4 linked regions of the Schizosaccharomyces pombe genome follow. The main gene of each other region encodes a partner of the protein of the gene in region 4 in a complex. Each region holds a gene or a part of one and is shown on either strand. Other genes may lie near its edges.

Evidence for each region.
Region 1: rpb4 (region 4) and rpb2 share a complex: the UniProt entries of both Schizosaccharomyces pombe proteins name them as parts of the RNA polymerase II (Pol II) complex.
Region 2: rpb4 (region 4) and rpb9 share a complex: the UniProt entries of both Schizosaccharomyces pombe proteins name them as parts of the RNA polymerase II (Pol II) complex.
Region 3: rpb4 (region 4) and rpb11 share a complex: the UniProt entries of both Schizosaccharomyces pombe proteins name them as parts of the RNA polymerase II (Pol II) complex.

What each region holds. Positions count from the first base shown.
Region 1 is NC_003424.3:847,463-857,066, reverse strand, and holds rpb2 (DNA-directed RNA polymerase II complex subunit Rpb2), read right to left. Parts: upstream 6,432-9,604; 5' UTR 6,392-6,431; coding exon 6,376-6,391; exon of another isoform or gene 6,338-6,375; coding exon 2,721-6,337; 3' UTR 2,682-2,720; downstream 1-2,681. Other genes in the region: ferrichrome synthetase Sib1, read left to right, coding at 1-2,544; rps802 (40S ribosomal protein eS8), read right to left, coding at 6,945-7,547; sst1 (calcium permease), read left to right, coding at 8,091-9,604. UniProt on the Schizosaccharomyces pombe protein: DNA-dependent RNA polymerase catalyzes the transcription of DNA into RNA using the four ribonucleoside triphosphates as substrates. Second largest component of RNA polymerase II which synthesizes mRNA precursors and many functional non-coding RNAs.
Region 2 is NC_003424.3:4,749,432-4,756,581, forward strand, and holds rpb9 (DNA-directed RNA polymerase II complex TFIIS subunit Rpb9), read right to left. Parts: upstream 2,975-7,150; 5' UTR 2,902-2,974; coding exon 2,861-2,901; exon of another isoform or gene 2,794-2,860; coding exon 2,727-2,793; exon of another isoform or gene 2,604-2,726; coding exon 2,554-2,603; exon of another isoform or gene 2,512-2,553; coding exon 2,379-2,511; exon of another isoform or gene 2,304-2,378; coding exon 2,253-2,303; 3' UTR 1,959-2,252; downstream 1-1,958. Other genes in the region: mid2 (septin ring organizing protein), read right to left, coding at 1-1,828; pro3 (delta-1-pyrroline-5-carboxylate reductase), read left to right, coding at 3,363-4,211; sdu1 (PPPDE peptidase family protein), read left to right, coding at 4,752-5,357; proteasome assembly chaperone Ecm29, read left to right, coding at 5,576-7,150. UniProt on the Schizosaccharomyces pombe protein: DNA-dependent RNA polymerase catalyzes the transcription of DNA into RNA using the four ribonucleoside triphosphates as substrates. Component of RNA polymerase II which synthesizes mRNA precursors and many functional non-coding RNAs.
Region 3 is NC_003424.3:1,430,700-1,437,903, reverse strand, and holds rpb11 (DNA-directed RNA polymerase II complex subunit Rpb11), read right to left. Parts: upstream 3,979-7,204; 5' UTR 3,952-3,978; coding exon 3,902-3,951; exon of another isoform or gene 3,857-3,901; coding exon 3,767-3,856; exon of another isoform or gene 3,721-3,766; coding exon 3,489-3,720; 3' UTR 3,062-3,488; downstream 1-3,061. Other genes in the region: ure4 (urease accessory protein UreD), read left to right, coding at 442-1,314; SPOM_SPAC3A12.08 (uncharacterized protein), read right to left, coding at 2,121-2,765; mrpl27 (mitochondrial ribosomal protein subunit L27), read left to right, coding at 4,529-4,705, 4,751-4,855; SPOM_SPAC3A12.06C (sodium/calcium exchanger), read left to right, coding at 5,249-7,204. UniProt on the Schizosaccharomyces pombe protein: DNA-dependent RNA polymerase catalyzes the transcription of DNA into RNA using the four ribonucleoside triphosphates as substrates. Component of RNA polymerase II which synthesizes mRNA precursors and many functional non-coding RNAs.
Region 4 is NC_003423.3:1,053,971-1,060,813, reverse strand, and holds rpb4 (DNA-directed RNA polymerase II complex subunit Rpb4), read right to left. Parts: upstream 5,306-6,843; 5' UTR 5,153-5,305; coding exon 5,101-5,152; intron 5,063-5,100; coding exon 4,957-5,062; intron 4,912-4,956; coding exon 4,834-4,911; intron 4,760-4,833; coding exon 4,588-4,759; 3' UTR 4,312-4,587; downstream 1-4,311. Other genes in the region: pre-rRNA processing protein Esf1, read left to right, coding at 1-1,292; cho1 (putative phosphatidyl-N-methylethanolamine N-methyltransferase), read right to left, coding at 1,747-1,807, 1,863-2,392; ubiquinone biosynthesis protein Coq7, read left to right, coding at 3,539-4,189; Gtr1/RagA G protein Gtr1, read left to right, coding at 6,110-6,843. UniProt on the Schizosaccharomyces pombe protein: DNA-dependent RNA polymerase catalyzes the transcription of DNA into RNA using the four ribonucleoside triphosphates as substrates. Component of RNA polymerase II which synthesizes mRNA precursors and many functional non-coding RNAs.

The sequences.
Region 1 (9,604 bases), on a different chromosome or scaffold from region 4:
ATGATGTCTACAGTATCTTTACCTTCAGTAAGACTGGCATGTCAATTGTACGGGGTTAGTATTCAGTCCTTGGTGTTTTTTACATGGGGTTATTATATAGCCTCTGTACTAAATTGTCCTGACATTGTGTTTCATACAGTTTTGTCGGGTAGAACTTACATAGAAGGTGCAGAAACTGTTATGGGCCCTTGTATGAATACAATTCCTGTAAGGATTAAGTTTGAAGGCGCATTGCAGACATTAAAAAAGACTTCACGAATGTTGATTAATTTAGCAAAGCAGCAACATACGCCGTTGTCTTGGATTTACAAAACATATGGAAACGTCGCGGCAATACCCATGGAAAGCATTCTAGTATATCAACATTTACCTGACTCCTCCCAATCGGAAACTTTTTTAAACGTGGTAACAGATAATTCAGCGGTTGATTATCCGATAGCAATACAGTTTGAGATACAAGGAGACACACTAAACTGGTTGACTTCTTTAGATTTAGCACGTGTTGATGGCGACGTTGCTAATCAACTATTACAAACAATTGACAAGATATTCTCGAATTTAACTAAGGGATCATTTGAAAAACTGACTTTTAACTTTTCCAACTTTGTTAAGTACCGGCAATATCAGATCAATTTGAAAGACTTTCGAGAGAATCTACTGCTTACTGAAGAAGCTATATCAGACTGCGATCTCTTAATCATCGATGAGCGTGTGTTAGTTGTTTTTATCCTTTTCCCTGAGCCTGACGCAAAGTTTCCTTATTTGGTTCTCAATGAAGAAATTATTCGAATGCTCAAAAGTTATATCAAGAAATTTCGTCTCACCTTATCTTCAGCAATGGTCCCAGATATTTTGGTTCCAGTTTCTTATCTTCCGAGATCCCTTGATCACTCCGAAAATGAGGGAAAGCTTCTGAATATCTATAATTCCATTTCCGCTGATAATTTGAAAATTTTGTCGGCGGTACATGAAATTCATTTAAATGAGACTGAAAAAATTCTTCTCGAAGGGTTTTCGAAAATTATCTGTTTACCACAGGATTCTGTAGATATTTCCAATAACTTTTTCCAGTTAGGAATGGATTCTATTCGCTCGATTCATTTATGTTCTTATTTACGAAACAAGGGACTCAACGTTAGTGTTTCAGATATTTTGCAACATTCCTCAATAGAAAAACTAGCTCACTATTTGCAATATGAAAAGAAAGAATCATCTTCTTCATTTGATATTGCTAGTTTTCAACTTGATGAATACTTAAATACACTTCCATCAAATATTCCGATTAATTTAGTTCAAAAAATATTACCTTGTTCTGCCGGACAAATGTATGCATTAAATGCGTGGTACAATACGGAGAAGAAGAAGTATTTTCATACTTTTTTCTACACTACTGAAGAAAAGATTGAGCTATTAAAATTGAAACTGGCTTGGGCGAAGTTAGTCAAATCATCTGATATTCTGCGTACCACCTTCATAAGATCTTCGAGTCCATGTTATCCTTTGCTGCAAATAGTCCTTAAGTCTTTTGAATGTCCCTGGGAACATTACATAACTGACAACTTGCACGATACTTGCTTGAAGATTCAGAAAAGAGAATTAGTTACTAACACTACTTTACAAGAAGTCCCTCTTCGTATAGCGACTATCGAAACTAGCGGAAAATTTGTTTTTTGTCTAACAATACATCATGCATTATACGATGGATGGAGCCTCGATATCATGATCAACTATTTATCTAAGATGTACTACGATGATAGCTTAACTATTGTGCAACAAAACTCGCAACTATTCCTTTCAACAGTTCTTGATCCTGCTGTTGGCTTATCTCGTAAAAAATTCTGGAACAATTATTTAACGAATTATAAACCGTATACGTTTTTGGAGAAACCTTCTGCCTCTCAAGAAATAACACTATTCTTTCCCAAATTATTTTCTCTAGATACAGTTTATTCAAGTGTACGCTCGCGTGGTTTGACAGTACAAAGCGTATCGTTCGCAGTTTTTGCTCGCCTTCTAGCAAACGAAGTCAAACAGGAAGACGTGGTTTTTGGAATCTATGTTTCTGGAAGAACACTAGACGTTGACAACATTGACGAACTGCTATTTCCAACATTCAATGTGGTTCCTTTAAGAGTTACAGATACTTTCAGACCTTTAGGTGAAATAGCTCTCGAAATTCAGTCTTTTTTGAATGAGATTTCGGGAAACCTACAATACATATCTTTGCTGGATCTCCCTGTTCATGGCATGATGGATATCGCAGTAAATTTCTTGTCAACTGGTGATAACAATGAACCAAGTAAAGTTTTCAGCGTATACCCGTTGAAACTCAACAATGCGGAACTAAAGATTAACGAAGTTGAAACCACCATTGATGGTTGTGAAATTTTGTTTGGAAACAAACCCAAGTTAGATTTTGAGTTGGCAATTCGAGATGGTTACCTCGAAATTGGTCTTTTCTGCCAATCGTCTATATTTTCCAAAAGAGAAGCCAGTGTTTTTATAAACAATTTTGTTACAATTATTAAGGAAATTGAACTTTAAATTGAAGCCGAAATTAGGTAACAACTACATTATTATTATATAAATAATATATATATCTGTTAGAACACAATTTAAGTAGCTTATGTAAATAAATGATAGCTTCTTTAAGATCACACCGATCATCCTTCTGTATGTTCATGCTATGTTTATGTATTAATTTATTCAAATAAGCAAAACTACTTATGGTTTTTAGTAAATAACCGCGGTGCAATATTCATCGACATCAATTCTTGGAATAAAAGCTTGGCAGCATACGGTAAATAAACTTGACTAAACCGAGTACGATTTTGACATGATCGGCATTCATATGAGTCTTTTTTGTAACTGGCGATCGCTATCAAACCACAAATATCGCATACTATAACTCGGTACGCATCAGAACAATCAAACAAACGTTCTCGTAATACACTACTACAACCATGAGAAATTTGGCAATCACGTTCCATTTCTCCAAAACGAAGGCCACCATCTCTAGATCTGCCTTCAACGGGTTGACGAGTCAAAATTTGCACAGGTCCTCTAGCACGAGCGTGAATTTTATCGTCCACCAAATGCTTTAGACGCTGATAGTATGTGGGACCAAGAAAAACTTGGGCAACAAGCTTCCTACCAGTATGACCATGGTACATAACTTCAAATCCTCTCGACTGAAAGCCATGTGAACGTAACAGCTTAGAAACCGCTTCAACCGTAACGTCTGTAAAAGGTGTGGCATCACCTTCAAAACCAGATAAAGCAGAAACCTTGCTAAGTTGACATTCGACTAAATGAGCAACTGTCATACGAGACGGAATGGCGTGTGGATTAATGATGATATCAGGAACAATTCCTTGTGCAGAAAATGGCATATCTTCATGACGATATGTCATTCCAATGGTACCTTTTTGACCATGCCTTGACGCGAATTTGTCACCAATTTGGGGTATACGAGTACTTCGCATTCTAACTTTAACAAATTTTAAGCCTTCTTGGTTAGTGGTGACCATTACTTGGTCAACAATACCGCTTTCAGTGCTTCTCAAAGGAGTGGAAACGTCACGCTTTGCATGTAACTGAGTACGTTGACCTAATTCTTCATGATCTAGGGGAATTGGAGCTGTTTTACCAATAATAATATCTTCGCCTGACACTCGAGTGCCAGGAGCAATTAAACCATCATCCTCAAGCTTGTCGTACGTACCGTGTTTCATCCTTAGGGTTGTAGACCGGACCGGCCGTTCAAACTCCTCCATAACAGTCATGCCAATTTTCTTTTCTTGGTCCGTGTACGTTCTGTAGAAAATACTGCGGAATAATCCTCGATCAATACTAGCTTGATTCATAATAATGGAGTCTTCTTGGTTATAGCCACTATAACATAGAATGGCGACAATAGCATTCTGGCCAGCAGGAAGTTCACGGAACTTTAGGTACTCCATCGATCGAGTAGTCGCCAACGGCTTCTGTGGATAGTATAGGATATTTGCCATGGTATCCATTCGTACTTGGTAGTTTGTAAGATAAACTCCCATAGCCTGTTTACCCATTGCAGATTGATAAGTATTACGAGGTGATTGATTATGATCAGGAAAAGGGATAATACTAGCAAGGATGCCAAGAATCATCGCAGGATGTATTTCACAATGGGTCCAAGCATGCACATGAGGATTAGGAGCTGGCTTAACTCTTTGTGCAGGATCCAGTTCTTCCTTAACTTCATACCCAGCTTGCATTTGACGTGATGCTTCAAGATCTTCCGGACTCATTGCTATCATAACCGTCTCCTCTTCTTCTGCATCTAGATACTCAATGAGACCACTAGATACTAAAGCGGTCCATCCAAAGCGTTGTTCGGGGTCAATGTCATATCTGTCTTTATCCTCTATTAGTTGTTGGATATGCTCTTTACGAATACATAACTCTCCTCTTCTTTCACTATTAGGATTGTTATCCACAATAAATAATGGTCTACAAATACGACCTGCATCTGTAAAGAGACGAAGCTCTTTTTCACGGATATCGCGAACGATACTAACCTCTGCAGATATGTCCAATCTACGACGAAGGCTGCGTAGCGTCTCTGTTAAATGAGCTGGATCACGATGTACTCCTAACCACACACCATTCACGAAGACCTTTGTTGCATTAGGAGACGCTGAAGGGTTGTAATCTTCCAGTGTTTCTAAACCCCATTCTTCTAAAAACTCGATAATTGGAGCACTGGGTGAACCTACGGAAACATAGCTCATTAGAGACAAATTTTTGACTAAGCCGCAAGCTTGTCCTTCTGGTGTTTCAGCAGGGCAAACCATACCCCAGTGTGTGTTGTGCAACTGACGGGGTTTAGCCAATTTTCCGTCTCTACCGATAGGAGTATTTGTACGTCTTAAATGTGATAAAGTTGAAGCGAATGTATATCGGTTAAGAACTTGTGATACACCAACCCGATTAACCATACTGCGTTTTTGGTCTCCCCAATTACCAGTAGCCAATGAATAACGTAAACCATTGGTAATAATGTTTGACTTCACAGCCAGGGTAAGGTTGAATTCACGATTTGTTTCAACGCATTTCTGCATATACTTATACACATCGCGAGTCATTTTACGAAAGAGCATACGGAACAGAGATGCAAGTAATGGACCTGCAAGGTCAAGACGCTTTTTCCCGAAATGATCTCGATCATCTGGTTCACGACGCTCTAACGCACACAAAAGCATACGATGGATCATGTAACCTAAGAAAAACGCCTTTCTAGTCTCAAAACCTTCCATTGTAGTAATATGCGGAAGCAGCTCTTTCTGTAAAATGTCATGGGCATATCGAAGACGTTTTTCACGCGTAACACCAGTAGTACTGCCTCTTTTACCAATGTAATCCAAAGCTATATCTTTATCTTGAATCACAAATGCTTCTTCGATACAGGGCTTCATCATTTCAAGCATTTGGAAATCATTTGGGTCGTAGCATATATGTTCCAAAATATCACGATCAGGTACAACTCCAAGAGCACGGAACACGATGACGATAGGAATGTCACTCCTGATATATGGAAGTGTTGCTCTAATTGTCTGACCAGAATTCTCAGTATTACGTGCCATTAACTTAATCTGCATAGAAGAAATAAGCCTACTACCTCGTTCCAAAGCAGAGCGAATTTCAGCAACGTAAGCGATGGGGCTCGGAGCGGCTTTTTTAAATACTTGTACAATATTGGCAGCAGATCTCTCTTGAGCAATGATTACCTTTTCAGAGCCATTGATAATAAAGTATCCTCCCTGATCATAAGGGCACTCATTCAAATCGTACAATTCAGAATCACTAACACCATTTAAAATGCAAAAAGTAGAACGGAGCATGATTGGTATCTTTCCAATAAAAACTTTTGAGGGTTCTTCATCCTCTTCTTCAACAAGCCACTCCTCTTCGCCGATGGGAACATTAGAATCGGCAGCAACCATAACTTTTTTACGCATGTCAACGTATAAAGGAGACGAGTAAGTCAAGTTACGAAGCCTCGCCTCTTGAGGAAACATAGTAGTTGTACTACCATCAGCTTCAGTCATTGTAGGCCTTGAAAGATAAATCTGTCCAAAATTTATTTCGTATCGACGTGTAACATCTCCTTGAGCACCCGTGTGTTGTGCATATTGATCTAGAGTTAAAGTGGAATCATCATCAACAATTTCTTGCATAGTATTTTGAACAAACTCATCGAAAGAGAACAATTGTTGCCGAGCTAACGACGTTTCCTCAAAAAACGACGAGATCACGGTCCAACAATCCTCCTGAGTCAATGTCTCATTGTATTGATCTATTATGGTGTTAAAAATGACTTTATTAGTAACTTACAATCCTCATAAGACATTGTTGTTGAAATGGCACACGCAACAGGATATGTTGGCGGTGAGGAAGAGGAATAAATGTTGAGGCTACCGTAACAAGGATATCGTACCGTAGTGGCAATTCGACTTTGTGTTCAGTAAAAAAGTCTTTAAGCATCAAAAAAAGAACCAGTTTTTTTATATCTTTTACTTGTTTTAATCATTCAATATAGCTAAGGTACGTGAAAGGCCATTTTCCTTTCAAAGCAATTCGCAACTCTTTCATTATGTGTAAAAGGCTACTTAGCGTGAATTTTTATTAAAAAGGTAAAGGCTTCACTAAACGTAGTTCAATGAGATTTAGTAAAGAAATCATATCTAATAGCACATAAACGAATTTCAATTACTGATTGGGACAAATGGAGAGATTACTAAACATTTAGCAGACACTTTTCTAAATGCCAATAATAAAAATTACCTTCTCTACATAATTAACGACCTTGGTTACTGATAATAATCAACAATACAGGTGAAATACAACAATCTCGGAATCCTTTTATTCCTTCCTTTATGAACTAATTTATTGAAGAAACAACCTTATTTCTTAGGAGCCATACGACGAAGGTAGAAATGTAACTCTTCACCTTCAAGGATGTAGCCGTCGCAACGACCAGATTGACCAGGGCGAGAGGAAACTACAGCATACAAACGGCCAGCAGCAAACTGAGTTTCCAAAGCGGAATCAACCTTAGAATCGCCAAGACGAGCGCTATGCTTACGTTGAACATGCTTGGATTTGGGAGTAGGTGTAGCAGTGGCCTTCTTACCCTTGCTTCCCATCAAAATACCGTAGTGAGTTTCATACCAAACACGGAAAGGAGCGGCATCAATTTGGACGATGGCCGACTTGGTCAAAGTGTTGGTACGAACCAACTCGTTGTTAGAAGGGTGGTAGGCGACTTGAATGATACGAGTCTTCTTGGAAACACCTTCAGAGCCCCAAGAGAAGTTACCAGAGTCAAGACGAAGAGCACGGAACTTCTTGTTTCCACCACGAACACGAACCTCATGGATACGCTTAGGTCCAATACGAGTGTTGGAAGGTTGACGACCCAACTCGAATTTTCTCTTCTTACGGTATTGAGCACGCTTAGCACCGGTAGCAGAGCGCTTGTGGCGGGAATCTCTCGTAATACCCATCCTGATCCTTTTGCAGAAAGAGATTTGCTGTGGTTACGATGAACTAGTATATAACACAGTAACTGAAATTGTTTGGGTTTGGCTGTGACTGTTATTTTTGTTTCATACTACTACTAATACTTTGTACTTAACGAAATTCGGTGTATTCTTACAAAAACCGATACCGTAAGTTAGCGTATTATCGCTTAGCTCTACATTTAGTAAACTGTACAACGATGCTCGGCTCTGATTAAGCTCAATTCATCCCGACAATCTTTAACGAAGTAAACATTGTATGCTCATTAACGAACTAATGGGAGGACTTCGATATTGTAGAATTGGCGTTCTTTTTTTCAATTTGGTATTCTGATTATGATATGCGTAATAGAAAATGATCGCAACCTTTCCAATCATGCCTTCCTTTCTCACTATTCCTTCAACAATTTTTTATAAATACCTATTTACTCAATCCTCTTAGCTACGTACAGGTGTTTTAAGGGATAGAATATTTGGCGAGGGTTTGATTCGGAAAAGTAATCATTGTGACAATTACTACCGCCTACAATGTCTCAACCTGCTGATATAAATCAATCTGAGAGCTCTGCGGAAACCATTACCCAGGGTCGACGGGCTGATAGACCAGAAGAAACTCCTTCTTCTTCAGTTTATGAACAGAATCTGCGATTCGGCGATTTCTTAATGCCAACTGTGGGCGACGCTGATGCAACGGATTCATTATCCCAATCTACCAATGATCGTGACATATATTCTCCTAGAGAAATTGATCAGTATACTCGGAAAGTTTCCTCTCGGACTGATCCATCAACTTCAACTATTTCAAATGCTCGTCAGCATCCCAGAAATTCGGTATCTCGTTTAAGTCGTAGTTCTAGTAATGTTCGGCAACAAAGAGATATTCCTAAGCAGAACTTTAAGGTACGTCCTCTGTCTCCCTTAAGAGGTCAGTCTCCCGCCTCTCTCAGATCTGAAGAATCCTTTACTTTGAAAGAAAGGCAAAACGCTATTAACAAGACTCGTGCATTCGGGATGCGGCTATGGAAACCCGCATTATATAAAAAGTTCCGATCCATAAACCGTGATGCTGACATTGATATTCACGATGAACCTCTGAAACGCCCCAACACCTCCATCTCTAATGTCATATGGCTGATTTGTTTCGGGGCTCCTCTTTTTCTAGTGATCTTTATATGTTATATATTTTTTACAGTCCTTTCATTTTTTAATGTGCCTGACGCGATCGTTTACTCTAAGCTTTGTCGAGGCCTTATGTTTTATCTCCTCTATCCCTTTGGTCAACATGTTCGACATAAAGTCAAGCGTCTATCAGTACGCTCTCCTGCTCATCCAATTTATCAGACTCAACATTCCCATTATGATGAAACTCCTACTTCACATCACCCGGATCCGGCCCGCTTAAACTTCCTTTCGTTTTCTTTCTGTGTTAATCCAATGAACCAATCGTTAGATTGCAATACTACCCCACATCGAAGAAACGCTTCCAGTATCATTTATACACTTATGTATTACTTGATTATTGCTCCGACACTACTCATTACCTCTGCAATTTGTATGTTTACTATTTTTTTCGTTCCATGTGCAAGGACCTTATGGGCTATTTGTCGACATTTGCGAACTTGCCCATTATCTTTGTCTTTTCGTCCAAATCTCGCTTTGCCGTTATCGATGGATTCTTCAGATGTTGTCTTACTATGTGTAAAAAAAGCAGCAAGCTGGAAGTATTATAAGTATACTATCGATGGTATTTACATAATTTATTTTGATATGCTAGCGCTCATAATCCCAACCATTTTTTTTGGCTTTTTTGGATCCCAAGGTCATTGGTTTACTTCTTCTGTATTTTTATTCACTGCTTCGTTGGTGAGTATTATCCCTCTTGCATATTTTATTGGAATGGCCGTGGCTTCAATTTCGGCTCAAAGCAGTATGGGAATGGGCGCTTTTATAAATGCCTTTTTTGGTTCAGTAATTGAGGTATTTCTTTACTCAGTTGCTCTGCGTAAGGGTAACGCTGGACTGGTTGAAGGAAGTGTAATTGG
Region 2 (7,150 bases), on a different chromosome or scaffold from region 4:
ATCCTATTAATTGAAAATAGCGACGACGCCAATAAGGGCAATCCCCACCTTGTTGACATAGATAACCATCACACAATAAAGTTCTATCCCATTCAGCAAGCTTTAAGTCATACATGGCAGACTCGATTGAAGCGGGAAGTTCTTTCAGAGAGACAGGAAGCGCTGGTAAGAAAAATACGTGGATTTCGAGTTCTCCTACTTTTCGAGGGAGAGGCTTGACATCTTTAGCTGCCGGATCAACAGTCCATTTGTTCATGATTGGTAGAACCATAGATTGACAACGGCCTAGTGCGGTTCGGCTTACAGAATCAGTGTTAATGGTAACTTCGCCGAAAGTTCCATCTTCAGAAACAAATCCATGAAGTGCTTCTGAAACGGGGTCGGTAGTCATAGACTTTCTCTTATTTGTTGAAAATACTTTTCCAAGTGTAGAACGAGTGCGAACCTTAGGTGGATCGTAAGCCGCACGGAGCGTACATACAATTGAAGAACTAATACTTTCATCAAAAGTATACTCATTTTCAATTTTAGTAGTAGAGTGTAAGGCGTTCCATGGTACTTGAATGTGCTTACCAGAGATTGTATAAGTGAACCTAGTGGTCATCCCCGATGCCAAAGGAATAGTTAAGTTTCTGATTTCCATAAGACGGACAAACAATCTTCCACTCCCGCCGGTTTGTTGCAAACTACTGGACAAATTTCGCGATAACGATTCTGGCATATAACAAGAATTGACAACGCGCCGCGAAGTTTGCATTTCTTGTTTCTGACTAGTGGCATGTACAACTTTAGAATTCTGTCGTAGCAAATATGTCCTAGTCAAAGCGTCAAAGGCTGAAAGAACATTTGTAAAGCGAGGATCTGGTAAAGAAACCACTTTTGGAAGAAGCGGTATCGGAGCATTTTCGTCAAGAACATGAGGGGAATCTAAAGAGGTGATGGAGCTCGTAAGTGGCTCTTCGTATTCATGAATAGAATCTGAACGGTAGATATCAGTCCTACAATTCTCTCGGTTCTCATCTGCGAATGATAAGCGAGGAGGTGTCTTTATATCTTGGAACGAGGACGAATCTTCAGAGAAACCAAAAGATGCAATACTGTTTATACCTTCGCCAAGACCAACCATGTCACTAACACTGCTAACTATACTGTTCGTAAAACTAGTGTCAGATGAATTATGAGAGTGAGTAGGTAACTCAAGTTTGACAGGTGGTGAAATTGAAACTTCTTCAAATTCAGCTGGCAATGTGTCCTCGTTAAAAAGCTTTGAATTACAAACGGAACGAGCAGGATTTTTTTTAGGAATTGGTATGTCGCCATGGCCCTGGTTAGATGAATTACTCTTTATCGAGTTGCGTGGAGTCGAGCTACGACTGCTTTTATTTGAAGCCTCATCATCAGATAATTTGATCAAACATGAATCGTTCAATGACAGTATGTTCTCTTTGTTTACGTCTTCAACACTTGTACTACTACTATCCGTTTCATTCATGACAGAGTAAGTTGGGGTCCTACGAACTTCTGTAGAAAAAGGAAGAAGAGACTGATGATCATCAAAACTGGAAGAATTTGATAACGTTTGATCATAAGGGAAACTATCGCCATCTTCAGCATCCTCAGATTCAGCAAAAGAAGGGGCCGTAGACGAGATGTTACTGCGATTAAAATTTCTCATTGTACTTTCTCGAGATATCGATGCGATTGTAGAGGCATAGTCAGAACATTCGTAATCAGTACTTGGGATGGGAGAAGGAATTCTCAATGCTCTATGGATGTCAGCTAAATACATTTTAGCATGCTGATCCTGTTGAGAAGCAGTCATCAACATTATGGAAAGCCTTGGAATTTAACAGCTCTGCTGAAATTAGAATATAAAAAAAAATAAAGGCACAAAGAATTAAGGGTTTTTATTTAATTGGTATTCGGATTACAAGGCTATTCCGTATGGATTATTGTATACAAATAACTGAAACAGTTTCAGTATATTCCAGAAGGTACACCGAATGTGAAATAAAGAAATTCAAGTGTTTTGGTAGGCGCGTTGCTTAATATAAAGGAAGGAGGCGAGCATATGATTGAGAGGCTGGTAAATCCATTTTCGGCAAAGGTGGCTGGTATCACTCGAAAATCCAGTTTTCCAGCACAGAAGCGAGAGAGTGGTTACATCAAGCGGATCATTTAAACCGAAGTCTAAGAGCCATTGGTGGACGCAGCTAGTTTTACAATCCCTTGTTAGACCGAATTGTCGCATATTACTGTTCTTCAAAAGCAAATCCACAATGTACGCAAACATAAATCAGAGTCTAATTAAGTCAGTAAAATTGTTTTTAAACCTAAATATTAAAATTGTTTTCTCAATGAAACAATGCGAAACACACCATCATAGTATCACCCCGACGAGAATGAGTCTGATAAAAAACTGCTTCATGTTGATGACAACGCGGGCATTCTTTGTCTGATCTAGGTAAAGTAGGGTCCGTTGAAGCGTCGTGACTGACCGTCGTGTTTTCTCTACAAATTTAGTGATTATTCGAAGGATGAAATCTAACTTACACATTGGAGCTTTGTAACTCATGGCGATAAACTTTACTAGTAGCAGCGATCTATACAAATTAGCTGATGAGATATTTAAAACTTCCAAATGATGAGGAAAAAAGTAATCGAAAAGAACTTCGAATTTTTTTCTTGAAGTGAATAAACCCAGTAGGAGAAAAAAACAAGCTTACCTCTGAGTAATCACAATTACGACAAGCTAGCCTCAGAACACGATCCACTTTATCCTCTCTAGGGTACCTATTTATTTCATGTTAGTGTTTTCAAACAATTTTCAGTGTCATCTTTTTGAGAAACTAATCCGTACAGCATATTATTGCATTCTATACAATATTGAAAATTTGACATTTTAAAAAAGCAAACAAAAGTATTTTACTTCAACGCAATAAACTTTCAAAAGAACGTGGTGGTTAGTGGATATGGAAAATACAGTGGACAACAGCGTCCTGATGGTTCACATCTATAAGTTCGAAAAAGCTTTTGTTTATCTACAACGTCTCTACAAGATTTCGTTAAAAACTGTGTAGCTGCTTTAAAATTTATTTGCGATATACTTAATATTACTAATTATATAGAAGATATATTGACTTTAACGTGTAGCATTATTCAAACATGGACTAGTCCTACAAACTTGTAACATCATACTTCAGTATCTTACATTATGCACATCAGCGAGTAAAACGGTAATTTACAGTATGAGTTTGATTTTGGAATTAACGATCCCTTAGCATATGCTTTAGTCGAATTTATTTTCGCTTTAAAAGAAGACTACAAAAATAGTTAAACATTTTTAAGCATAACTTTAAAAAATGTCGGGGTTTTGTGTTCTTGGTTGTGGTACAATGGGAAAAGCACTTTTGACTGGAATCTTTGATTCCATTGCTGAAAATGGAAACGATGTTTCTGACGAAATTATCATTCCGAATAAGTTCTATGCTTGTGTCAAATTTCCTAAAGAAAAAGAGGATGTTCAAAAGCTTTTCGGAGATCGTGTTAAAGTTGTAATGGGGGCCAAAGAGAATGCCGAGATGGCTGCGATTAGTAACGTTTTGTTGTTGAGTTGTAAGCCTCAGGCCGCAGAGGATGTTTTGAATTCCCCAAAGATGAAAGAAGCGCTCAAAGGAAAATTAATTTTGTCAATTTTGGCTGGCAAGACCATCTCTTCATTGCAAAGTATGCTTGATGAAAGTACTAGGGTGATTCGCATTATGCCCAATACTGCTAGTCGAATCCGTGAAAGTATGAGCGTAATTTGCCCGGGACCCAACGCAACTGAAGAAGACATAAAGTTTGCTGAATGGGTATTCAATGGCATTGGACGTTCAATGAAACTTCCCGAAAAGCTTATTGATGCTGCTACCGCTGTATGTGGAAGTGGACCTGCTTTTGTTGCTACTATGATTGAGGCTATGACAGATGGTGGTGTAATGATGGGTATTCCGTTCCCTCAGGCTCAGGAATTGGCTGCCCAAACTATGGTTGGTACAGGTCGTATGGTTTTACAAGGTCAACATCCTGCTATGATTCGTAATGATGTTTCAACTCCTGCCGGATGTACAATTAGTGGTTTGTTGGCATTGGAAGATGGAAAAATTCGAAGCACAATCGCACGTGGTATAGAACAAGCAACCAAGACTGCTTCTGGCCTGGGTAAATGATACTAGCAAATTCATTTTGTGCTATTAAATATCCTGGTTCCAAACATGGATTTGTATATAAAATTCTTGGGTTAGTACTTCTGTTTCCTCTTTAAAGCTAGTTTCGTTATCTAGTTGTATTAAAGCGTTGTGACTTAGTTTCATTCAATGATTCCTCTGTTTAAGCTTGCAATTCTGTTACATTACTAATAATATGCGTATTCGAACAGCGAGATTATATTTCATTAACTTTTTAGAACGTTGTATGCAATTAAACCCATTTCATTGCGATTGCTATCGTAGTGAATTTAGCTAAAGGTATTCAATATTGAAGAAACGTACTATGTTTTGATTATTTTAACATTGTCATAGTCGTACCGATGTAAACAAAATCACCACCATAAACAGCTCCCGTATTTTAAATTTTTATCCTTAATTCGACTCTACTTTTTTTTATTAAAAATACTTAATTGTACAGGTATCGAATCTTAAAATTCAACCTGCTTAAGGAGGACCAAGGAAATTTGCAAGTTGTTCTTCGCCATCCGAACGTATTCGAATATGAAAGTATACATTAATGTGTATGATCTAATGCCAGACAGTCCGGTAAACAAACTAGCATGGACTCTTGGACTTGGTATTTACCATACAGGATTGGTTTTAGAAGGTAAAGAATATGCGTTCGGAGCACACGAAATTCCTGGCTCCACCGGTGTGTTTGCTACCATGCCAAGACCGCCTTTAGAAGGGTGTAGATGGCGCTGTTCTATTGCTTTACCTAATTGTACCCTCCCTAAACCCGACGTGGATAGAATTTTGATTCGTTTGAGTCAAGAATTTACGGGGTTATCATATTCTTTATTAGAGAGAAATTGCAATCATTTCACGAATGCTGCAGCAATTGAACTTACGGGCAGCCCTATCCCTTCTTTTTTAAATCGAATTTCTCGAATTGGATTGGCGTTTCCTACGATCACGAATGCCTTATTACAGCACGGTCAAAAAAATACATCCGACGTTGATGATTCCTCGGATTCTTCTTCAGATGTAGATGAAGAAACTTTAATCGTATCAAAAAGTAAAAAAGCTCATAAAGATATTCCTAAATTTTCCGCACCTCCTCCTTCTGCTGACCTCAATAACCTCATCACTGATTCACTTCCTTAAGTCGCATGCTGTTAGTCAGCCTTTTAACCTACGAAATACAACACACACATCCAAAATTGTAGATTTTATTTATGCCTTGTTCTATCAATTAAGTGTAAAGTCAATTTGGGACTTTTTTTTAATTACTTGCTTTCTGATATATATCTCTTTATTCATCTTTGTTTGGTATTTTATTGTAGAGTGTTTTTTTATTAGTGATTATAATTAACTCTACAATAATGGCTGAAAATGAATTGAGATTATTAAACAATGCAGAGCTGAAGCTCGCTCTAGCGGAAAGCGAGGACTCCTTTCAATCGCTTGTGTCAGTTTTTTTATGTCCGATTTTACTAAAACTCGATTCGCCTCATGAAAGTGTGAGAAACAAAACAATTTCAATTGCAAACCACATTATGACTAGGCTCAACAATAACGCGCAAGCCATACTACCTCTTGAAGCCTTAGTAAGCCAGTACGTTGAAGCAAATCAACCTTTGCGAAAAAGATTTCTCCTTGCTTTCATATCTATAGGCGAAAAAAGGATACCTTGTTCTGAAAATTTGGCCCTTCTCCAGATTTGTCTAAATCATGTCAATGAATACCCATTAGTATTATTGACATTGACAATTCGTTTACTTCGTTTTTCAAAGCCAACTTCGGCTATTACATGCTCTAACGATGTCATTTTATCTCTTTCTTCATTCTATTTGATTCAGAAAGATCAAAGGATTTTTAGTGACCTGCAATTTTCCCAAAAAACAGTAGATTACCGCTTGAGTCTGCTTCGGTGGATTCATTTATCTAGCTGGCCATCAAATTGGAAGTGGTTGGCTTACTTTTTTGCCTCTGCTGATTCTCATTCTGAAGTTGCCCGACTGGCAGATGAATTTACGCGTGATAGTGGATTACCTGATCTAGAGAATTTGTCCCACGTGAACGTTCTATTAGACATAGCGCTTGATAAGTTTCGAATCGAAGCTTTGCACGCAAACTTTTCTGTTTCCATTAGCTTAAGGAACAAGGCAATTCAGCATTTACTTAAAAGTAAAATTGCTGCGAATACTGACAAAGCTATAAATTGTATTGAATTCATTCTTGAAGCACCTCCTAGTATGCAACCCCGGTTAATACAGTTTACTCGTTGGGTAGTTGACAAAGCTGATCCAAATTTTCTTAAACCTAAAGCTGCGATGATATTGGAAAAAATTCTTAGCATCTTATCGAGTAATATAATTCAGAGTGATTTACTTAGAGGATTTTTATATACAACGATAGGTTTACTGACCAAGGTTGATAATCATCTGATTACTAATTCTTTGCTGACAAATTTATTGACCTCCTTACAATCTGAATTACCAGACGTACGAGTTTCAATTGACGAAGCTCTTTCTATTATTATTCCGTACTATAGTAATTTTCGATTTTCTAACGAATTGTTGCCAGTATTAGAACCCTTTATTTTTGATTCACCCGAGTCTCCTGCTGCGTATTGCGCACTTCGATTTGTATTGGTTGCTTTTCCTTTTGATTATTTGCCAGCTCGTTTTATTTGTCTAAAGGTACAAAATCCTTTCGTATTTCACCACTCTTTTATTGAAGAAGCTAAAAAAGGACTAAACTTATCTCAATGGGTTCAGTATAATAGTGTGTATTCCACGAATGAAGCTCAAGAGGAAGATAAAGTACGTGCCGCTAGTTATCCTTCTGCCTCTGAAGTAATCTCTTTTATTTTGTCGGACCATGATTTAAAAAAATTTTGGGAATCTAATGCTGCAGAGTATTGTTTGGCCATTCTTGAGTTTATTGAGAGATGC
Region 3 (7,204 bases), on a different chromosome or scaffold from region 4:
TCAGTTGTTTTGTGTTGAATCGTGCAATGAAACTATCCAAAGCATATTTTTATTTACCCTTTATAACTACTTTTCACTAGTCATCAAGGACCACCAAGCGCGTAAGAAAGTAGGTGCCGACTACGTGTGGAACCATGATTAAACTCAACTCCGAAGTATAAATGTTCCTCAGTGATATTGATTTAATGAATGATGAAGCTATTTATTCATAGGGTATTCCAACATTTGAATTGAACTGTAAAGCACACTACAAAATATCAATGTTCGAATATGAAAACACTGTAATTGAACATGCATTGCCAAATGCATTATGAGCTCATAAACTACAAAAACCAAATATTATATCTTTTCATACTTTTTAACTTAACCAAAATTCCGAAACAACGGTAATTATGGTTTCACATATTCCACTGTATTATCCAGATACTACCTGCTTTTAATATGGAAGATAAAGAAGGACGATTTCGAGTGGAATGCATTGAAAATGTACATTATGTAACAGATATGTTTTGTAAATATCCATTAAAACTTATCGCTCCTAAAACAAAACTTGATTTTTCTATTCTGTACATCATGAGCTATGGAGGTGGCCTGGTATCAGGGGATCGTGTAGCGCTGGATATTATAGTTGGAAAAAATGCTACATTGTGCATACAGAGTCAAGGAAATACAAAATTATATAAACAAATACCAGGAAAGCCTGCAACACAGCAAAAGTTGGATGTAGAAGTTGGAACGAATGCATTGTGCTTGTTATTACAAGATCCAGTGCAACCTTTTGGAGATAGTAATTACATTCAGACTCAAAACTTTGTATTAGAAGACGAAACTTCTTCTCTTGCATTACTGGATTGGACATTACATGGTCGAAGCCATATCAATGAACAATGGAGTATGCGATCTTATGTGTCCAAAAATTGTATCCAGATGAAGATTCCAGCTTCAAACCAGAGAAAAACGCTTTTGAGAGATGTGTTAAAAATATTCGATGAGCCTAACCTACATATTGGTTTAAAAGCCGAACGAATGCATCACTTTGAATGTATAGGCAATTTGTATCTTATAGGACCAAAATTTCTTAAAACTAAAGAAGCAGTTTTGAACCAATATAGGAACAAGGAGAAGAGGATATCAAAAACAACGGATTCATCTCAAATGAAGAAGATTATCTGGACTGCTTGTGAAATTCGGTCGGTTACAATAATTAAATTCGCTGCTTACAACACTGAAACTGCACGAAATTTTCTTCTGAAATTATTTTCGGACTACGCAAGCTTTCTAGATCATGAAACTCTTCGCGCTTTTTGGTACTGAACATGTGAACTCGTATTTCTTTAAAAAAAAAAGAAAAACCAATTTAATAGGGTCCATATTTTATAATTATTTGGGATATAATTGAAGCACGCTTTTAATTTTTTTAAATTTCGGTTTTACGAGTAGGATGTTCCAGTAATTGAAATCTTTTACAGAAATCTCGAATCGTTTTTTTTTTCTACTCCCTTAATTCCATCAAAGCTTCTGCGTTTTTTGAAAAATTACTTAATTATGGAATCAGTTATGTTTCGAATACAATAACCTGTTGCCAAAGTCTCGATTTACAAAAACGTGGTTAATACTCGAAGAGGAATATTTGCCTAAAGTGTAAATTGAGAATGTATCCGGTAATTGCTTATTTTTAATCCTTAATTTTTCTGTGGATCAATTGAAAAATATTAATTGCGATTGCCAAATCTTGTTTCAATGTCTTGGTTACTGTACTTATACTTTTATTCCAAGCAAATAAAAGTTTTATGCTATATGGAACGACTCAAAACATGCTTCTCTTGGCTAGGACTTGACGTTCAATTACTAACTGTTATAGAAAATTTACTATTTAGTACACAGTAGATAACTAACTAATTGGATATAGCACTTGAGACATAGATCTCAAAGAGATTGTATCTATTTCATAAAAGAGACCTTTGTCTCTGGTTTAATCTGTTAATGCAGTCACGTTAAGTAAAAGCATTTTTGGAATTGTAATCACAACAAATCCAAGTAACAAAATATCATTGTTTTCGTATGATCATTAGAAGGTTAAGGTTTGCAGTTTTAATATCATAAATGGCATTTAACAATGACTACGATTGTAAATCCAAAGCTTCAGCTAACAGCTGACTTTTAGAATTGTATAATCGTGCAACATCGTCTTTAACTCGAACGATTACCCAGTCTCCAGCAGGCACAGGCTTTTTGTAGTTTATGCTATAACTGGGAGTACGCACATCGAAGTTTTCAGTAGGAATAGGGTCCCGAGGCTGTGTTGATTGTGAATTTGCTTGCGATGATCTAAGATTCCGAACAGTCTCAAGAGACTCGATCAATAAAGTTGCAATGGCGCCCCCATGAGCCAGTTTCTGATATCCTGTCAAAGCCTTACCCATGAGTCCAATGCTGATCCATTCTTCATGTTCGGGGTCATAAAATGTTTTAAATACAGGTATCAATCCATCTTTAAAGGAAAGAAAATTGGAAGGATACTTAGATTGAAGCAAGGACGGATGCTCCTCCATTTTCATGCTGCGTTGACGTTCGCGATAAATGTTATCAATCATTTGAACAGCTTCAGGCGATTTCGAAATTTCAGAAATATGTTTCGCACTTGCTGGTAGTCGATGATATGCTGTATAGGCATCACTGGAAACAACCCAAGAAGCTAGACCGCCTACCATAAATCCCCCAATCCCTGCTAATAACAGCTTATTTTGAAATAATTTAGAGCTCATAATCAAAAATTGAACAAAGTTTCAAACTTTTCGTCACAATGTAATAGGAGCGTTTACTATTAGCGATATTCGGACGTTATAAAACTGATACGCAGATGGAGCATATGTGCAAAGCATAGGGTATCATTAATTTATGCAAGAATATTTATCGTATATTTTAAGAAAATATAATTACTTACATATCCAAAAAGTATTCTATAATAATAACTAATACAGGAATAAACAAATTTCGTAATGCAATTGAAGCAAAGCATTTGGAGAGAAAATGATGATTGTGAATAATTCAATGACATAAATTGTAATAGTACAACATTAATTAATTTATTTCTTTTAAGATTGAATGTAAGAATCGATGCTCTGCCCTACTGTAGGAAATTAATCACTTCGATTACATTCAGCAAAATTCAACTTTGAAAAAAAAAGCAATATCAGAGAATAATCCAGGTACCTAGAAAAACTTTCATCGCCATTGCTGCAGTTTTCTAGTTGGTTTATGAAGAAGCATATACAATAAAAGATCGGAGAACTTTCACCTTTTTTAAAGCATCTGTTTTCAAAAAAGAAAGAAACTTTTATTTTCCCTTTTAATACGACTTCGGTCCAAATTACAGAAGTTGCGAAAACGAAAGTCAAAATTTTTGTAATAAAGATGCATACAGAGGGTATTCTGTATTTTTTGAAACAAAACTCTAATAAATATTAGAGAAAAAGCAGCCGTGGATTTTAGGAAAACTCCATTTCAACGCCTTCAACAGATATCATTTTCAACTCCCATTCACGCATAAAATTAACTTTGATTTCTTCCAGATGAGTAATAAGGGACTTAGCAGCATCAACAATAACCTGCTTTGGAGAACAATCTTCTACGGTTTGTACACGAAGTATGAAATTGTGATTTAATGGATGAGGAACTTTGTAACCAGCAAAAAGAACCCTTTCGTCAGATAGGAGTTGACTTCGAAAAAGCAGTTAGAAAAGAAAAAAAAATTTAGAAGTCTTACTTTGCAAGCATATTAGCCAATGTATGATCCTCTTTTTCAAGAGTAACTACTGCGGCATTAGGTGATTTGCTATCGAGCTCATATGTGACTCTACACTGGTTAATGCAATTCCTTGTAAAATTGTTTATTCCTTACTTGGGGAGTCCCATAAGCTCAATGAGCTCATACCGTTCTGGCTGATTCATTATGCCAACGTTTTCAGCCGACTAGCTGAAGAAGAAGTAAGATGTTGATGCTTACGAGGGTTTTGTCCACGTTCTGTACATTAAGCATCACTATAAATCGTAATGCCATTTAACAAAAGCTTTAACACTTTATTCCACAACTCATCGTATTTCGTTATAAATAACGCGAACGTGAACGGACACTTAATATATATTTATCTGTTGGAAATCGGCTCAAACGAGTAATGAAATGGGAGATGTAACAGTATTTTTTAATAACTGATTTTAATAACTAAAATTTTTAAAGGCATATTTTGAGGCGTTTAATTGTAGATTAACCGTACTTGTTTTCATTGAACTGTGCAGAAAGATAAACAACAAGAAAGCTCATTTAAATGTTGAAAAAAAAATAGTTTTTCGTACTTATTTCATTTTTTAGTTTCATAATGTAATTCGTTTGTTCGTTTTAAACAAATATTTTTATTGTTTACATTCTATGTTTCGCTTTGACTGTTACCTTATACCGTTACCTTTTCTTTTATGACGGAAAACGCGCCAACTTAAACCCTCCATTTACCCAAATCGAGAGTTATTCAAAATGCATCAATCATTATTATGTTTTGGAGCAAGACGCTTGCCAATGACCACAAAGTTGGGTCATCAGTATTACAAGGGTACAAGAACTGGGAAAATGGGTCAAAAAACCAGGCATGGAGGTTTTCTTGTCCAGTGGTCGCGTGTTCGCACGTTTGTGCCTCCTTCTGGTGATTGTGAGGTATGTTGTAAATTAATGAATATTGTTTTATATTAACTTTCAAAGCTTTTGCCTTTTGTTTCTCGTCGAATTCAAGCCACTAAAGGAACTTATCCTGAAGGTGCAAATGGGTTGGATGGAGCTGTGTATTTTGATCTTGCTCATAGCTAGTATGTTTATCAGCCTCATTCTTTATTGTTTTGAAAAATTTTGGTACCCTTTTCAACTGTTGCTTTATTCTATCTGTTAATGATTGGGCATACACTTTGAAAGGAGAAATTTCTACGTTACGATACCTTATGTTGCGTTGACTGTTGTTATTTATTGTTTACGGACACGTATATTTATCGATATTCTGTTGTGACGTTTGCTTCTATTAAATATACTAGTTACATTCTTACTTTTTCTGCCAAAATTGGGGGCAATCTTGAGTACTGCGCATTTATATATTTATTATAGGATTAGTCTTTTTCATCCCATCTATCTTAGAAAAAAAAGGGCTGCTAATACCTAGCAATGCGGTTTAAGCATGGATTTTCTATATCTTGGATATCAGGTATAAAAATGTCGAAAACTTCATGTTTCTTGAAGAAATACAGACTAATATTACTTTGGTGTATCCTTGGCATTGCCTACATTTTATTCTGGACTCATCGGATTAGCAAAGCGTTTGCTTCAGTATCCTCGACTTCGGACTCAACCGTCCATCTTTTTGAGCGCGGAAATACCTTAAATGATAGCAACGACCAAATTTTACTTACATGCAATGATATCAAAAACATTACCCCTGCTAATCAATGTCGGTTTGCAAAGGCTTACTGTAAGGGAGAGGCTAGTGGGTTCTTTGATTACGTTGAATTTTATTTTTGTACCATTAACAGTCTCCGATTCCCAGTGTTATCAATAATTGTGGGATGGCTGATTTTCCTTTTCATAACTATCGGAATTTCTGCTAGTGATTTTTTTAGTACCAATTTGGTTACTATTTCGTGGCTACTTCAATTGCCCGATTCTGTGGTTGGCGTTACTTTTCTTGCTTTAGGCAATGGATCTCCTGATATTCTTAGTACGTTCGCTGCTGTACGTGTCAACAGTGGGGGAATGGCTATTGGGGAACTTTTGGGCTCTGCATTCTTCATCGTAGCCATAGTTGCTGGCAGCGTATGTTTAATAAAGCCATTTAAAATACCTCGGCGTCACTTCCTTCGGGATGTTGCTTTCCTTACCGGTACTATTTTACTTGTTATAATGTTTGTTTTGCATGATGGTTCGTTGAGTATTTGGCAGAGTCTCGTAATGATACTTTATTATCTACTCTACGTTCTTTTCGTCTTTTTCTCTGGTAGCTCTGGTGTTAGCGTGGTAATCACTGATGAGAATTATTTGCCTGTCTCCCTTCCAGTCTACTCACCGGTTTTAAATTCTTTCGATGACTCGGATTCCTATAGTAGCACGGATTCTGAATTATCCGAAGAGGCATTTCTCTTGCCTGCCCAAGCATCTAGAAAGACCCAAAAAATACATTACATTAACGATAATGACCCTTCAAATTCGTATTCCTCATATCAACATTCCCATGTCCATGATTTTATTCACAAAAACAACACTCATTCTAACCGTGTGCTAAGTCAGTCATCGGGCCCCATTGTGCGTCCTTCGTTGCTTGCTGCTCTCGACTTTAGATCTTCGAATGAGGAACAACATCCGGGATTACGCTCACTTGATCCATTGAATATTCAAGACGGTGATCTTACTATGCATCCTATGCATATTCGCCATTCTCAAAGCGATTTTTATCCCAGTGGAATTAACACCCCTGTGAGTGGAATTAATTATCCCAATTTGGGATTTAGCGCCAATAATAGCGTGCAATCCCTTGTTTCTGAAATCTTTCGTCACCCAACTCACACTGACGAAGACTTTCCATTACCCTCGCCATCACTTAGTTCTTTGCTTTTCCCTACTTTGCGAAATTTTGCCAAAAAATCATGGTATGAGAAGTTAATGGACGTCTTAGCTGTTCCATCTGTTTTAATATTTACGTTAGCATTGCCTGTATATCAATGCCCGCGATTGGCAGTTGATCCCATTTATCATATGGATGTATCTAACTGTAATCCATCAAAACCAACATGGTCCCGTAAACTTCGCTTACTACAATGTGTGTTCGTTCCTTTTGCCTTTGTGACCTTTTCCATCACAGGCGGGAATCGTTTATATATTTATGCTGCATCTTCTGTGTTTTCTATTTTGTGCATCACAGCTTTGTATTATTATACGGATGAAGAGAAACCTCCAAAATTTCTGCCGTGGGTAAGCTTCATTGGATTCGTATTAGGTATAATATGGATATCGACTATTGCGAATGAAGTCGTAGGTATTTTACGAGCCCTCGGTGTCATTTTCAACTTGAACGAATCTATACTTGGACTCACTGTTTTCGCTGCTGGTAATAGTTTAAGTGACCTCATTGCGGATATTATGATCGCTCGTTCTGGTTTTCCCGAAATGGCAATGGGT
Region 4 (6,843 bases):
AGGCTCAAAAATTTGGTTTTGATAACAATGAGTCTGATCAAGATGAGGAAGATGCTTTAATAGAGGAGGATTTAGGCAACGAGTTTGATATGGTAAAATTACGCCAGTATCAATTAGAAAGGCTTCGTTACTATTACGCAGTAGTGGAATGTGATAGTGTAAGAACGGCAAAGGTTATATACGAAACTTGTGATGGCGCTGAGTATGAAACTAGCGCTAATATTTACGATTTAAGATTCATTCCAGATGATGTTACATTTGACGACGATGAATCTCGCGAAGTATGTACTAAAGCGCCCGAAAAATATGAGCCGAGAGATTTTGTCACCGATGCATTGCAACATTCAAAAGTTAAACTTTCGTGGGATGCTGAGGATCCACACAGAAAGGATTTAATTAAAAAGGCTTTTACTTCTCAGGATATTGAAGATTTAGACTTTAGCGCTTACATTGCCTCAAGTGAATCTGAAGATGAGGATGTAGATGTTATTCGTTCTCGTTACCAAAAGTTATTAAGTGGTGATGCTGATGACTTCCAAGCGAATAGTAACCCTTTTGAGGATGATGACAAACTTGAAGGCGCCAATGGTGAGATGGAGGTTACTTTTACTTCAGGTTTTGATGTTGATAACAATGCGAACTCTTCGGAAAAAGATGAAACCACTATTGAAAAATACAAGCGTAAGGCCGCTGAAAGAAAACAAAGACGGAAAGAATTGAGACAGCTTAAGAAAACAAAAGACGATGAAGGTGAAGGATCCGACGTTGATCTTGGTTTTGATGATCCATTCTTTAAGGACAAGGATGCTAGTCGTAACAATAAGAAAAACAAAAAGGGCAAGCATACTCAAATTGAAGATCCTACGGCCGCGTCTAAAGAAGAACTGGAAAACCTTGTTCGTGAAGATGAAAACGATTCTGAGCAGCTCGATCATTTTGACATGAAGAGTATACTGAAGGCTGAAAAGTTTAAGAAGAATCGCAAGCTTAAGAAAAAAGCCTCCAATTTGGAAGGCTTGCAGGAAGGATTCGAAGCTGATGTCAGTGACCCACGTTTTGCTGCTCTATATACTAACCATAATTTTGCACTTGATCCAACAAATCCTCATTTCAAACGTACTAAAACGGTGGAAAAAATTATGGACGAAAGTCGTAAAAGACGCTCAAATCAATTGGAACAAACACAAGACGGTAAGCCTGAGCTTAAAATCAAAAAGCGTAAAGCTGAAAAAGGAGATCAACGTCAAGAACTTGATCGCATTGTCAAATCTATTAAACGTTCTGGAAAATAAATTAGAAATTGTACTCTGTTTTTCCTCTTGAACGATTGGATTTATAGAGTTTGATTTTGTACATATAAATTGGTCAAAACGGGGTTTTTTTGGTTTGCTAATATATTTGTTTTGAATTTTATTTGATTTTAGAATGAAAGCACGTTAATTTACATGGTGTAAAATATTAGATTATTTTTTACATAAGTATGAATATAAAAATATCGGATCATGGTGTTGAGACCGCGATCAACACACTTAAATAATTTGAAAAAAAAAGCGTTAAACTATGCATAATTATACAGACGTTGAAGTCGTCAAAGTACATAGGGCAAAATCGGTTAAAGGAGGAGCGTTAGTAAAGGTAAGGACTAGTCATGAACAGAACATTCCATTTAAAATTGTTCCTTTTTTTTTTTTTTTTATAAAAAACTCTAATGAAGCTTTAACTTATGGCCACTTCAAATCAGCTGCTTCACTCGGATTTTTTAGCTTGCTTGCTATCACGAGCAGCGTAAATTTTAGCAGTAAAAGGTCTATTAATGGTTAGAGTAAAGAAAAATTTAAAAATTTAAACAGTTGGCAACTTACTCTTCAAATTTCAAAGCTATTCTATAAACGAAAAAGACTTCCAAAGTTAAAAGGAGGCCAGCAACTTTTCCATAACGCAGAGCTGTAGAAAGGAAACAAAGAGTAGAACCGTTGTACATTGGGTTATCGTTGACATTAAATGGGAAACCAGAAACACGCTCTGGAAGCAGAAATCCAAAGTAATCACCAAGATATGTACCAACAAGTCCTAGCTTATACATACTCGATAAGACAAGGACGCTGCCAAAACAAAAAATGAGCTTAGCTATACCCTGCACAAGAGGGTTCATGAAGATACCTAGCGTAGGTTGTTGTTTTAAAGCATTCTGATAAATTAAGTCACGAACTATTCCGGCAACAAAAATACAAGCTGCTAGCATGTAACAGGCCTTCTTAGAGTCGCCATTTGCCAATTTGGTCAAAGTCTTATGATTGTATTCTGAACGTGCAGCAATATTCCATAGCAGAGGGTTCAAAGCAATAGATACAGCACAAATTAAAAAAGAATTATTGATTTCAAAAATGGCCATGTTTAGCGAAAAATATGCTTTTATAAAAGGTTGATATAAATACGAAGTTGGTTTGGGGTAAAGAATCAAGCTCATTCAAACGACGTCTTTGATACAACGGAATTTAACGATATTGCTATTTTATAAAATAATGAGAGAAGGCCTGAAAAACATAAGTACTCATTTGTGTTTAAAAGATTAAATTAGAAAAAGGAAAGAAATGATTGATTTCGCATATTTCAAATTGTAAATTTTCGATGGGGGAGGTGGGTGTGGTTCTGGAGCTTTTTTTCTATAACAAAGAAAATTAATCCATAATGCCAAATTACATTCTTGAATTATTAAGCAAGTCAAAAATTAATTGTGATGGGGTGTCTTTGAGTCTCTACTTGTACTTGTTATATCAGTAATACTGGAAATTTGTATATCTTCGGATTCCCCTTCGGTTGAACTAGTAATTAATTTAAAGTTTTTTAAGCGAAAATACAATGTTGAGTTGAATTGGTTGGAAAAAAGATAGGAAATTGGAGTTTACTTTAAAACTGCAGCTTAAATATGTTTTTTTTTTTTATTGTTTATAAGAAGCATTTTATTATTGAACTTCTATATCCGTCAAGATTGACGAACACTATGAAACTGTAGCAAAGCCATTTAGCTAAGGAAAAAAATGATACATTGCTTCTTTCCTGAAATTACGCCACTGTTTATTGAATCTCTTAGTTTAAAAACTAAGTATGTATTTTTCATTTTGACTTAAAAATAAAGTTGAAGCAACTGGTATTCACTGCGTTAATCAAGCAAAAGAATAAACGACAAGTTTATCGAATATTTTATTCCATAAAAATAGAGTGAACATCAAATCACTTAAATTTAATTCCTTCTTAACTTAACCATCTAGCTTGAATTTTGCAGATTTGTTCAGAGATTGATATGAAATACACCTCAAGCCTAACGTGTTACTCAACTAAGCATTTCCGCCTAAAACGTTCGGTTTGGTAGAGAACTTCACATTCTAATCCTCCACACCCAATCAACATCATAGTCTCTTTCGTCGAATATTTCAATCTATTAGTGAATTAGAAATATTGGTTTATTGTTGATTAGTAAAATTTCGTTTTGAAAATTGATAACTCTGTGTAATTTCAGGCCTTTTTACCATTACAAAAGATGTTGTCACGTAGACAGTTAATACCCATTGCTACCAAGTCGGTTTCTCCTTTTCTTCGCTCCTCTATAACATGCCGTAGAATTTCGATGGGCCGTAAAGAACTGAGCGAGAAAGACTCAAATATTTTGGACAGCGTCATTCGTGTCGATCAAGCAGGTGAATTAGGCGCTAATCAAATTTACAAAGGTCAGCACTTTATCCTTCAATTTACCGATCCCAAAGTCGCACCTACCATTCAGCATATGTGGGATCAAGAAAAGTACCATCTCGCAACATTTGATAATTATGTCTTAAAGAATAGAGTCCGTCCTACCTTTTTACGTCCTTTCTGGGACATCGCTGGATTTGCGTTGGGAGCAGGAACTGCTTTGCTTGGAACCAAAGCAGCTATGGCTTGTACAGAGGCAGTAGAAACGGTAATTGGCGGACACTATAACGACCAACTACGTGAAACGGCTCATTTGGAAAATAAAGCTCCAGAATTTAAAGAGATTCGTAGCCATTTGGCAGAGTTTCGAGATGACGAGCTAGAGCATTTGAACACTGCAGTCGAAGGTTGGAACGCAAAGGAAGCTCCAGCTCATGCATTGCTTACCAATGCCATTCAAATGGGTTGCAAAGCGGCTATCTGGATGTGTAAACGATTTTAAATACTTCAAGTTTTCCTGCCTCAAACTCAACTTGCTAGTCCTTTATGAAGCAAAGAACGCCCATTTGATTCAAAATGTTTAGTTTTTCTTGCTTCACAATAGTATGATCCTTGTTAAAACTTACTTAATCTAATTAATACATTTTATCTAAATTCCTTTTCGCGTGTATTCAGTGTTTGTATTATATTTTTTTAATAGACTAATTAAGAAGTGTATGGTGCATAAAAAAACATAGATTTTGTTAAAAAAAGTTTTATGACCCCTCATAAATTATGGAATAATAATGACAAAAACGTCGTATTATAAATCCTGATATAGCTAATAGTTTATAAGACCGGAAACCTTTTAAGTTTTCATAATTGACAATAAACAGACTTGCCTGAGATCTATTTATTGCATTAATCTTGAAATTTACGCAAAGTGGAAAGCTCATCCAAGATGCCTTGAAGATTTTGGTCATCAATTTTATTCGCGAGACTAGGAATCAAGGTCCTAGCCTCTTCAGCGTCTTCGCAGCAGAGTGTTCCCAATTGTGCACGTTCAAATTTATGGAATCGATTACCAAGAATTCTATGAGGTTAGTCAAATATTTGCATACGGCTATTTTCCTCTAAAATTCTATTCAATTCTTTGAAATTATGTACCTTTCACATGCATAAGTGGCTTCAGCCGTTTTAAACCGAGCAAAAACATTGAAGTAAGCTACTGTTTTTTTCATCACACTATCCTAGTTAATTAAAAAAGAATATGCATACAATAAGACATACTCAGTCATTGGAATCTCACCATTAGTTTCGCGTGCTCGTTGTGCCAGAACTGTTTCAATAAGGATTTTGGCCTCTGAAACCGTCAACATATCCTCATTCTCAAACTCTTTTTATATTAGCAACAGAATAAAATTCAAATCCAACCTGGACCAAGTTTTAATTGTGCAGCATCTTCCTCAAAAATAGCCCTCGGCATTATGAATAGATGCTCGCAAACACTCTCTTCAGAATGTTGTTTTTTCTTTTTATCTAATTAAATCAATAACTATTATACAAATGTATTCCCAAAAATAATGTCAGAATGCTCTTTATGCACAACAACCAGCTTTCTTGCTGTTGCTTCGTGTCTAAAAATCGCGTCCTTGATTGCAGCATTTCTATAGCCGCTGCTAATAATAACGATATTTTATATTTATCTTAAAACTAAATAACGATTGTTCTTAATAACATTATGAATTTACCGAGATGTACGGAGATGTCTAAGAAAAATTTATTTTATTGATATTTCTTAATCATTTGTCTAGCTTAACGACGCCAGGGTTTTGGAGTATTTTCTCGTTAAAACCAAAGAGCTTTCTATTAAAATTATTCTCAAGTCTTTGCTTTAGAGACTTCGTATAGCTAAACGTTAATGCGCCTTAAAAACCTCAGATATGAGGATTCTTCTACTAATTTCGTTATATTCATTTGAAAATACGTTACATTCTTTTAAAGGGGTTATTTCTATTTTTACTGTGCTTAATTCTGAGATGAACCATTCGTTCTTGATTTATATGTTTGTTTTTTATAAATTTGTAAATTTATTTTTATTTTAATTTTAATTCTCACAATTTGACTTTGAATTTGATTTTTAATATGTAGGTTAAGGAAAACAGACTTCGTAACTTTACGATGTAATCGACTGAAGTGCATGTCGTTGTACCACTAATCAACTTAAACTTTTCTGTCTGCGGGATATTATAGAATCTTTTCGCATTCCTTTACCTACATTTCTCCCTTTCTTATTTTTTTACTTTTTCTTTGCTTGTGATTTTAAAAAAGAACGCATAAAAACACGAATTCACTCACAATTGCAGTGACAGCTGTTTTGTAGAATTTTATAAACTAATTGCTTTACCCTTAATCTCAAGATAGTTCTGTTATTCTAGAAAAAATGAGAAAAAAAGTCCTGTTAATGGGCCGCAGTGGCAGCGGCAAAAGTTCAATGAGAAGCATAGTTTTTAGCAATTATGTTGCCAAGGACACGAGAAGGCTAGGTGCTACAATTGATATTGAACATTCGCATGTAAGGTTCTTGGGAAATTTAGTTTTGAACCTATGGGATTGCGGTGGACAGGAGGCGTTCATGGAAAACTATTTATCTGCCCAGCGTGATCACATATTCAGAAACGTTCAAGTACTTATCTATGTTTTCGATGTTGAGTCAAGAGAATTTGAAAGAGATTTAGTAACTTTTCGTAATTGTCTAGAAGCAACAGTGGCCAATAGTCCCCAAGCTCGTGTATTTTGTTTAATACACAAGATGGATTTAGTTCAGGAAGATCTACGTGATTTAGTTTTTGAGGAACGTAAGGCAATTTTGTTAGAAACAAGTAAGGATCTTGAAACCACTTGTTTAGCTACTTCTATTTGGGATGAAACATTATTCAAAGCATGGTCTGCTATTGTCTATACTTTGATTCCTAATACGCCTACTTTGGAATCGCATCTCCGGGAATTTGCCAAAGCTGCTGAGGCTGCTGAGGTAATATTATTTGAAAGAACAACATTTTTGGTTATTTCTTCTTATTCTTCTGAGTCCAATCCTGCCACTGATGCTCACAGGTTCGAAAAAATTAGCAATATTGTTAAGCAATTTAAACTCAGTTGTAGCAAAATGCAAGCTCA